Schizosaccharomyces pombe: one gene and its partner. The protein of the gene in region 2 interacts with the protein of the main gene of each other region in a biochemical or structural test. Each region holds a gene or a part of one and is shown on either strand. Other genes may lie near its edges.

Evidence for each region. The genes of interacting proteins can lie anywhere in the genome.
Region 1: the proteins of nbs1 (region 2) and mdb1 form a complex in vitro, tested with the Schizosaccharomyces pombe proteins (one study listed by BioGRID).

What each region holds. Positions count from the first base shown.
Region 1 is NC_003424.3:2,882,293-2,887,068, reverse strand, and holds mdb1 (BRCT domain protein Mdb1), read left to right. Parts: upstream 1-1,727; 5' UTR 1,728-1,848; coding exon 1,849-2,082; exon of another isoform or gene 2,083-2,136; coding exon 2,137-2,229; exon of another isoform or gene 2,230-2,285; coding exon 2,286-3,527; intron 3,528-3,579; coding exon 3,580-3,885; 3' UTR 3,886-4,276; downstream 4,277-4,776. Other genes in the region: iph1 (metallopeptidase), read right to left, coding at 1-30; SPOM_SPACUNK4.13C (NTPase Ylf2), read right to left, coding at 348-1,345, 1,437-1,477, 1,543-1,727. UniProt on the Schizosaccharomyces pombe protein: Involved in DNA damage response (DDR) mediated through its interaction with phosphorylated H2A proteins hta1 and hta2 which mark the discrete foci of DNA damage.
Region 2 is NC_003423.3:2,648,077-2,652,919, reverse strand, and holds nbs1 (Mre11 complex BRCT domain subunit Nbs1), read left to right. Parts: upstream 1-1,942; 5' UTR 1,943-2,005; coding exon 2,006-2,042; intron 2,043-2,101; coding exon 2,102-2,155; exon of another isoform or gene 2,156-2,193; coding exon 2,194-2,282; exon of another isoform or gene 2,283-2,386; coding exon 2,387-2,535; exon of another isoform or gene 2,536-2,574; coding exon 2,575-2,654; exon of another isoform or gene 2,655-2,684; intron 2,685-2,696; coding exon 2,697-3,865; intron 3,866-3,911; coding exon 3,912-4,175; 3' UTR 4,176-4,343; downstream 4,344-4,843. Other genes in the region: Prp19 complex WD repeat protein Prp17, read right to left, coding at 1-318, 358-1,122, 1,164-1,274; SAGA complex deubiquitinating submodule subunit, TREX complex subunit Sus1, read left to right, coding at 4,456-4,535, 4,604-4,843. UniProt on the Schizosaccharomyces pombe protein: Component of the MRN complex, which plays a central role in double-strand break (DSB) repair, DNA recombination, maintenance of telomere integrity and meiosis.

The sequences.
Region 1 (4,776 bases), on a different chromosome or scaffold from region 2:
TATCACTTCAACTTGCGGTTTCCCATCCATTTTTTATTTATGAAAGGAAAAGATAAAACAACCCAGAATTCTGACTACTGCTATTACACCCAAAAAAAGGGTAATATGTAAGAAATATGGCAATAGGTTGAATTATGTGTTTACATACACACAGTACGTAGGCATTACTGTTTAGAGGCCAATTTAACAAAATACACCGATGCACTAAATAATTTAATGTAATTAAAGCTATCCTACAAGTATAAAGTTTTGTAAACAAATAACTAATAAACACTTGAAAAGAAACATTATGAAAACGGTATTAATGAAATCTTACTATAATTAATTTAATTTAATTTAGATTATCACTAACGAGCAATTTTCCAGAAAATAATATCCCCGGGTTCGACAGTATAATCTTTCCCTTTCGTTTTGCACTTTCCTACGCTTTTACAAGCATCTACTGATTTGTACTTTTCGAAATCAGAAAACTTTATAACTTCTCCTGCAACGAACTTCTTCTTGAAATCTGAATGTATTATACCGGCCGCGTCAGGCGCCTTAGAGCCGTCGGCAATAGTCCAAGCTTGAACGATTTTTTCACTAGCTGTGAAATAATGTATCAAATTAAGTGCAGAATATCCCGCACAAATAATTTCTGATAATTGAGAATTTTTGCCCAAACTAGCGCATTCCTGCGCCGCCTCTTCAGGCGTAAGCATGAATAGCTGTTCTTCAAACAGAACTGAGAGAGGTATCACTTGATCACCAAAACTATTTTTCTCAACCCATTCTTTGATTCCTTTTAATGCTTCTTGTTCATCGGAAAGATAATCGTCTTGATCCATATTTACCAGATACACCACCGGTTTGGCAGTGAGTAAGTTTAAAGAATTTAAAATGGGAATCTGCTCGTCATTCCATTCAGCTTTAGATATTTGACGGCCTTTTCCTAATACTACTTCTAATGCTCTTCGTGCCGTATCAAGAGCTTTTGCACATGTTTTGGGCGAGCGGCCCTCCTTTTTTAAATATGATTCTAAAAACTCTGCGTCTTTTAACAATAGCTCTTCCTGTATTATTTGTAGATCTCTTACTGGATCAACTGACTTTTCAACATGAGGAACTTGAGCCTCTGGAAATGCACGTACCAATTGAAACAAAGCATCGACGGATCTAATGTTTGAAAGAAACGCATTTCCAAGACCTTCTCCCTTGCTTGAATTCCTTGTCAACCCTGCAGTATCATAAATAGTTAATTGCGCTGGGATACGCGTTTTAGGCTGATAAATTTCACAAAGCAATTCATACTGTGAATCAAGTACAGGGGCTTTTGCATGAACGGGATCGATTGTAGCGAAAGGGTCTTATAAATTTGTTTTGTTAGACAACAGAAATACAAAATATTATATCACTTATAATCAAAACTAATACTTGACTAAAATATGACAACGTACAGTTAGCAGGATTTCCCAGGTTTGTCTTTGTAAGAATTTGACTATATTTATTGTTAATACCGATCAATGAAGCAAATTTATCAGTTAAACCCTTGAACAAACGTACAATAAGGTGGATTTCCCAATGTTGGGCATTCCTACAATGCCAATTTTCAAATGATTTCCAGGTCGTCCCAATCGTTGCCGAACAATAGAAATATCCTTTTGTTTTGAATAGTATCTCCTAGTACAATTTACAGAAGGTAGACACTTTTGCGTTGACAACACTATCCTTGTAACTATACCACGCATTTCTTAACCATTCGATGAATTAATCACAGAGTTGTTGCTAAGCTTTTTCACGCAGTAACCAAAACATTAATTGTTAATTCCTCCTTGAAATTTTTATACGATCAATAGCAGGATTTGTAAAATGGAGATACAGTTTGGAAATCAGAGGTGTAGGATGGTAAATTCTGGGGGTTTTCTAGCTACTGATGGTTCCCATCTGAAGGAAATGGAAACAGATGATGTTCTTGTTGAATTCTTAAATATAGAACATCAACTTTTTATTCGAAATATTCGAGCTATAGTTAAAATAGCCGATACAACGGTGCTTCCATCTGCTAGCGACAAAAAGCTTCTTTATTATGTTTTTGACGAAACGGTATTATCTTTTTTCTATTGATTAATTGAGTAAGCTAATTATATACTTTTTTAGAGAGTAAGAATCAACGATACTCCTGTAATTTTTTCAAAATTAGAGGAGGATAATGCAAACGTGAATGAAGGATCCAAAATGGGAGTTATGACTGTATGTGCATTCCCTCATTATACTATTGTCAAAAAGACACTAACCTATTTTCCAAGGTCCCTAATACCCCGCAGAAGCCAAATTTGCAGCAACAAAAATTTGAAGCGATCAATGCGAATGAAGATCAAATTGATTATTCAAGTAACTTGGAACAAAATTACAATTCTTTAATTAGGCAAGGATCTGACCAGGTCATTCCCCTTTCGCGATTCGCTTCAGAAAAAAGTGCTTTAGAATTGGAAAAGGAACTCTTTTCTGAGAGAATTCCAGAATCGCAATCTGCCGCTGAGCCTGTTCTTAAAGTTGAAAACTCTGAGAATGATTTGGACGAAAAATTGGTATTGGACGGTCAACATGTGGAAGGCGACCATAGTTCTGACACTGAAGAGGAGGTTGTTTCTGAAGATCAAAAACAGTTGAATAAGACCGACGATGAGTCAACATTTATTGAATCACACCAAATTTATATACAAGGAGAAACAAAATCTCCTTCTTCTGTCTCGCAATCATTGAGTGGAGACCCATCCTTGAAGCCAGCAGAGGTATTTGATAGAAAGCAAAGTGCTGAAATAAACTCACCAATTGAGAAGGATGTGAATCCACAGCAAAACATATCGGACAGCTCTATAAAGAACAATAGCATTCACAGTGATGAAGTAAATCCAGAGGTTAGGCCAGATTTAACCCCCTCCAACGAAAATGAAGAAAGTAAAAGAAGTGCGCCGGAAATCGCTCTCAAAGAGAAGGAATCCACATCCCAGGATGAAAGTAACAGAGAAGCAGAAGAGGCACCAATTTCCACTAATTATTCTTTCCCCTCATCATCTTTAGAGGATCAACCTGACAAGAATGTGCAGTCCTCGGCAGTTGAAAATAAAAACAAGCACACAAATCTGGTAACGTCGAGTTTCAACCTAACTAAACCGATGAAAAGTTTTATAAGGAGAAATGGTCTAAGGGTGCAAGAAAGTGTCACAGACGAAACCGACTTTGTCATCCTTGGTTCACCTCCACTTCGGAGGACACATAAGTTTTTACTGGCGACTTCTCTAGGTATACCACTTGTCTCTTCTCAATACTTGACAGACTGTATAAAATCAGGTAAAGTTTTAGATTTTCGTAGCTACAAATATAAAGACGAGGAAGCAGAAGCCAAGTGGGGATTTCGTTTGGACGATATCCACAGAAGAACGTGTTTCAATGGGAAAAGACTATACATTACAAAGGCAATTCGAGATTCGATGGTAGGGGATTCTATACACGGACTTTACTCAATTTTGGAAACATCTGGAGCTGAGGTAAGTGAAAGATGGAGAATATCTAGTTATGATAGGCTAATGATTTAAATAGATTGTTGGTGATATTAAAAGGGCTCAAGAGAAGGACACAATTATACTTGCTCAACCTGACAACGATCAAGAAGGACGGAATATGAGTGCTACTGGTTTAAATGTGTACAAGATTGAACTAGTAGCTTTATCCATCTTGCGTGATCGAATTGATTTTGATGAATTTTTGATTGACTATGATGCTGACAGTCCCACCAAAGTAATTGGAAAAAGAAATGTCTCAAAGGCATCCCGAACCGGGCAAGGAAGAAAACGATCCTCTCGTTCATCTTGGAACAAACCAAGTGCAAAGGAGCAAAGAACATAAAATTAAAGGTAAAGAGGACATCGTTTACTTTGTCTATTATTTATTTATAGAAGTATATTTGCAAACATATATTCTTGAGTTTCTTCTATGAAGGAGGACCATTAGAAATTATACAAAAATAGAATTTTAATAATGATATTAAATAAACGAGCGTATTTAAGGGCGAAGGATAAAAAACCTACACGGTTATTTAATGAAATATGCGATCTGTTAGTTGATTGTTAAAATCTTGAACCAATAAATTCAAGATACTCAACATAAATGAATCGATTTCAATACGCTTTTTTTTCTATTTTCCAGATAATGTATGAAAAAAAATAGTTTGACCAATTCCCGAAATTTATAATTATTACATCTCAATTAAAAAAACAAATAAAGAAATAAATAAAATGATATGAAATGAAGTACAAAAGGTTAATAAAAATAAATAACAAATTTCTACACGATTAAAAGATATAAAAGGTAAAAATCTTTATGAGTAGAAAAACGCATATACTTATTTGCGGTTTTAAGAGGAAGTAAAAGGAGGTAATTCCGAAACATAAAAATAAAGGGGCCTCATTATAGTGCTTCTTTTTAGTCTTGCAATTTTATTTTATTTTTTGAAAAGGTTTAGTTGTTTGTTTATTGACTACAAAACACAGCAAATCCACTCGTCATATCAGATCAAGCATACCGCATATCTAACAAATGATTCTGCAATGCATTGCACTTCACTGTATAAAATTTATTCATAAAATGCGCAATATGTATATCAGGCACTTATAGGTTTACCCAAATATGCTGTTAAATGGAATACACAGTTTTTTGCGCCATCTTACCATTTATAAAGCGTGAATTTAGAGACCCGCACATGCTTCCGCACACGGCCAAATGAGCGCTAAACCTCGG
Region 2 (4,843 bases):
TCCGCCGAGATGATGATCGTATGCTTGAACAATATCAGGACTTCTGATATCAAATTGAAGGATCCTTTTGTCAGCTGTTCCTGCTAAAAACTCGTTGGGTTTATCAGGATCTACTTGGAATTTGACGCAGTTTGTTAATCTATCTGAATTAAAGCAGTTCAAACATTTCCCTAATTCGGTATCCCAGAGTTTAATTGTTTTATCAAAACTAGTACTTAAGAATGATCGTCCATCTTGGCTAAATGATAAATCGCGGATAGGACGAGCGTGTCCTTGGAATGTACGAAGCAAAGAACGGTCATGGTAAACTTCCCAAATCTAAATATTAGTTTATCATCTTTTTGCTTACAAACATACCTTTATCTGATTATCCATTGAGCCAGAAAGAAGTAAATGGCCACTAATCGGAAAAAACCTAAGGCAGGAAATACCTTTCGTATGACCTTTCCAAGTGAATATATGCTTCTTTGGAATGTAACAAGTTTGTTCACCAGGCTCTTCCGATAAATTTATTCCGACGTCATTCGGGACATGCATATAGCTTCTATTTTGATAATCAAATAATCTATCTTTATGAAGTATAGTCTCTTCTTTAGAGCGATGAGTTTCAACTTCTGGAGTAGCTAATTGTTCCTTCAATAATTCATTTTGACCCAGGTTATTAGATTCCGTATCCTTTTCACTTTTGACATCCAGGGATTCAACCTCTTCATATTCACTGTACTCCAAAGGTGAAGAGGATTGTTCAGAACCGTATCCGGCCCATGGCCCCTTATAAGCACCATCCCCTTCAAGGATAGATGGATCGCCAGGATCCTCTCTACGTTCTTTTATTTTCTGGGACTTCCTTTTTAAATCTGTAGAAGTAGTAGCTTCGTTATCATCAAAATTTCGTTTTCCATAAATAGCATGTGTATTAGCATAATATTCTTGATTAAATACAAAATTTGGAACATATTCCCTCTCAGCATAACCGGTAATACTGTTCTTTATAGAATCCTGTTCTTTAGTGACAAATGGATTTGCAGGCCCTAAAGCAGGCTGCACCATTTCATTAACCGGGACATTACGCGCTAATTCTCTAGAGTTTCCTCCCTTTGAAACAATTAAATCATCCTTTACCTAAAATGATTAGCATGTTATAAAAAACATTTGATAAATACGTTATCAACCACAGCTGGCGCTAAATTTTCAGTATGCAGAAGAGGTTGGATGTTAGGCGATTGGGAATTCTCCTGTTCTTCTGAATCACTAGAATAGTTTGCAACCAACATAGAAATTGCAAACGGCGAATATGAAACCAGCAAATTCGTATGGTAATGGTTTAAGGAAGATTAAGCTGTAGGGAGGTTTAGCGAGGATGAGAGATTCCTGGCTAATATCAATTAGCGAAAATGAAACACTACAGCTAACTCATACTTCTGCTTATTAGGATAGGTAATAGATAATTCATTGATTAAAAAATAAAGGAATGTAGTAAAAACTAGAAATAAAGTTAGTTATTTAAAGAGGCATGGACTTTTTTAAACTGTAAAAGAAGTTATCCAGTAGTGCATATACACGACGTATGATAAATAGTATTTAATTGAAGTTTGTTTGCTCACATAAGCTCATGACTTTAAAAATTTCATTTTGGTACGATAGTTTACCCCTTTAGTAAATTCATTTTCTAGTGTACTCACAGTATTTTTTGTGTTTGCAAGGCTAGGACAGAGAACCTGTGTAAGTCTAATTTTTTGAAATTATAAATTTTTTAAGAGTTTTTGTTGATTAAACTTTTTCTTGAAGAAAGCTTTGAAAAGCAAGCTTTGTCAATTCAAATTCAAGAATTGGTTTAGTAGATTTAGCTTCTAATTTAACGAAGGGCTTTTGGACATCATAAAGGGTTACTTTGTTACTTTCAATTGTACTAAAATTAAAAGCGACGCACCTATGCATCCTCAGTTGTGAAAACAGCATTCTGGTTTCTGAATTTTTTCAATAAAAAGAATTTTATGTTGAAAAAATGTGGATAATTGAGGCTGAGGGTGACATTCTAAAAGGTATCTCTTACTAGCTATATCAATTTCATTATGGCCGTATTGTACGTACTAAACAGCAGGAAAATCACGGATACTATTTCCAGGAACTTATATTGTAGGTCGAAATGTATCTGGTAAGTTTCTTATTTTTGTTAATTTTCTAATATTGCAGACGATTCGTCCCACATTCAAGTGATTTCTAAATCAATTAGTAAACGCCATGCTCGTTTTACGATTTTGACCCCAAGTGAGAAAGACTACGTACGTATCCAATTAAATGGAAATATTGAGCTTTTCATTTTTCATTTCTATTATATGTTTATCTTTCTTATATTTTAAATCAATGCCAGCTAATATGTGCACAGTTTACCGGTGGCCCATGCGAGTTTGAAGTAAAGGACCTCGATACGAAGTTTGGAACCAAGGTTAATGAAAAAGTTGTTGGTCAAAATGGTGATTCTTACAAAGAAAAAGATCTTAAAATACAACTGGGTAAATGTCCATTCACGATAAAGTAAGTTTTATCGACTATATATGATTTACTAACTTTAAGTGCATACTGGAGAAGTATGTGTATACAATTCGATAACCCTGAAATGTTATCCCAGTGGGCTTCAAATTTAAACCTCTTAGGTACTTCGGTCTTTTTTTTTTTCACTTCTTATCAACTTTCAGGTATACCGACTGGACTACGCGATAGCGATGCTACTACCCACTTTGTTATGAACAGACAAGCTGGGTCCAGTATAACTGTTGGAACTATGTATGCTTTTCTTAAAAAAACTGTAATTATAGATGATAGCTATCTTCAGTACCTATCAACTGTTAAAGAATCCGTAATTGAAGACGCCAGCCTAATGCCAGATGCGCTTGAATGTTTTAAAAATATCATAAAGAACAACGATCAATTCCCGTCATCTCCTGAAGACTGCATAAATTCATTAGAAGGATTCAGTTGCGCCATGTTAAATACGTCGAGTGAGTCCCACCACTTATTGGAGTTATTGGGTTTGAGGATATCGACCTTTATGAGTCTTGGGGATATAGACAAGGAATTGATTTCAAAAACGGATTTCGTTGTATTAAACAACGCAGTATATGACTCTGAGAAGATTTCTTTCCCAGAAGGTATCTTTTGTTTAACTATTGAGCAGCTATGGAAGATAATCATTGAAAGGAATTCAAGGGAACTAATCTCAAAAGAAATTGAGAGGTTAAAGTATGCTACTGCTTCTAATTCAACCCCCCAAAAAATTATTCAACCCCAACGCCATATCCAAAAGAACATCGTTGATGATTTATTTTCTGTAAAAAAGCCATTGCCTTGTTCGCCAAAAAGCAAGCGAGTAAAAACGCTAGAAAACCTTTCAATTATGGATTTCGTACAACCTAAACAAATGTTTGGAAAAGAACCTGAGGGTTATTTAAGCAATCAATCAAACAATGGTTCAGCTCAAAATAAAAAATCGGGTGATAATAGTGAAAAAACTAAAAACAGTTTAAAATCCAGTTCAAAAAAATCGGCAAACACAGGCAGTGGTCAGGGGAAGACCAAGGTTGAGTATGTTTCCTATAATTCAGTGGATAAAGGAAATTCTTCTCCGTTCAAACCATTAGAACTTAATGTTGTCGGTGAGAAAAAGGCCAATGCGGAGGTAGATAGTTTACCTTCAGAGAATGTCCAAGAATCTGAAGATGATAAAGCATTTGAGGAAAATCGTCGTTTACGAAACCTTGGATCTGTCGAATATATTCGAATTATGTCATCCGAGAAATCGAATGCTAACAGTAGGCATACTTCAAAATATTATTCGGGCCGTAAAAATTTTAAAAAATTTCAAAAGGTATGTGGTATAATAAAGAAAATTTCGACTAATCTTTTTCATACAGAAAGCTTCACAAAAAGCACCTTTACAAGCTTTTCTCTCTTTATCTGAGCATAAGAAAACAGAAGTGTTTGACCAAGATGATACAGATTTAGAGCCTGTACCAAGACTCATGTCAAAAGTAGAAAGTATTCCTGCCGGAGCATCGTCTGACAAAAGCGGCAAATCATCAATTTCTAAAAAATCGAGTAATTCATTTAAAGAACTATCTCCTAAAACCAATAATGACGAAGACGATGAATTTAATGATCTCAAGTTTCACTTTTAATAAAGCTATTATTTCCAAAGAATTTTTGTAGTTTATTAACTGTCAAAAAATGCATTACTGATAGTCAGTTTTTTTGTTTATAGTAAAAAATAGAGAAGCTACACTTTTAATAATATTGTACTATTATTGACTACTTACCTGAGATATCGTATTCAGAATGAAATCCAAATATTTTATTTTTCAACTCCTAAATTAAAAAATGATTTAATTATAAAGGTTACTTTTCAATGCTGGTTTAAATATTTCGTTTGCATCTGCAATGGTATATTTCTGCGTAGCAATGTACGACCTCATATTTTCAACAAAGATGACCACTGAGAAAATTGTTGAGCAGCTATATGAAACTGGAGATTATGAAAGGTATAAAAGATAGGCTTTCTTTTTTAAAAAAAAAATTTTATAACTAAACAACAATTTAAAAAATGTAGGCTAGCAAATGAATTAGAATACAAACTTGAATCCTGCGGTTGGACAACTCAATTACGTGACTACACTCGGGGAATTGTGAATTCCGATTCTAAAATTGATTTTCAAAAGCTATATGAGAGCGCCTTGCAGTCTGCAACTGAAAGTATTCCCGATTCGGTTAAAATGGACTTGCTCAAAGACATTAAGACCTGCGTTCTAAAGTTGGCCAATCCTCCTGAGTCAGCAAATGGAGGGAATAA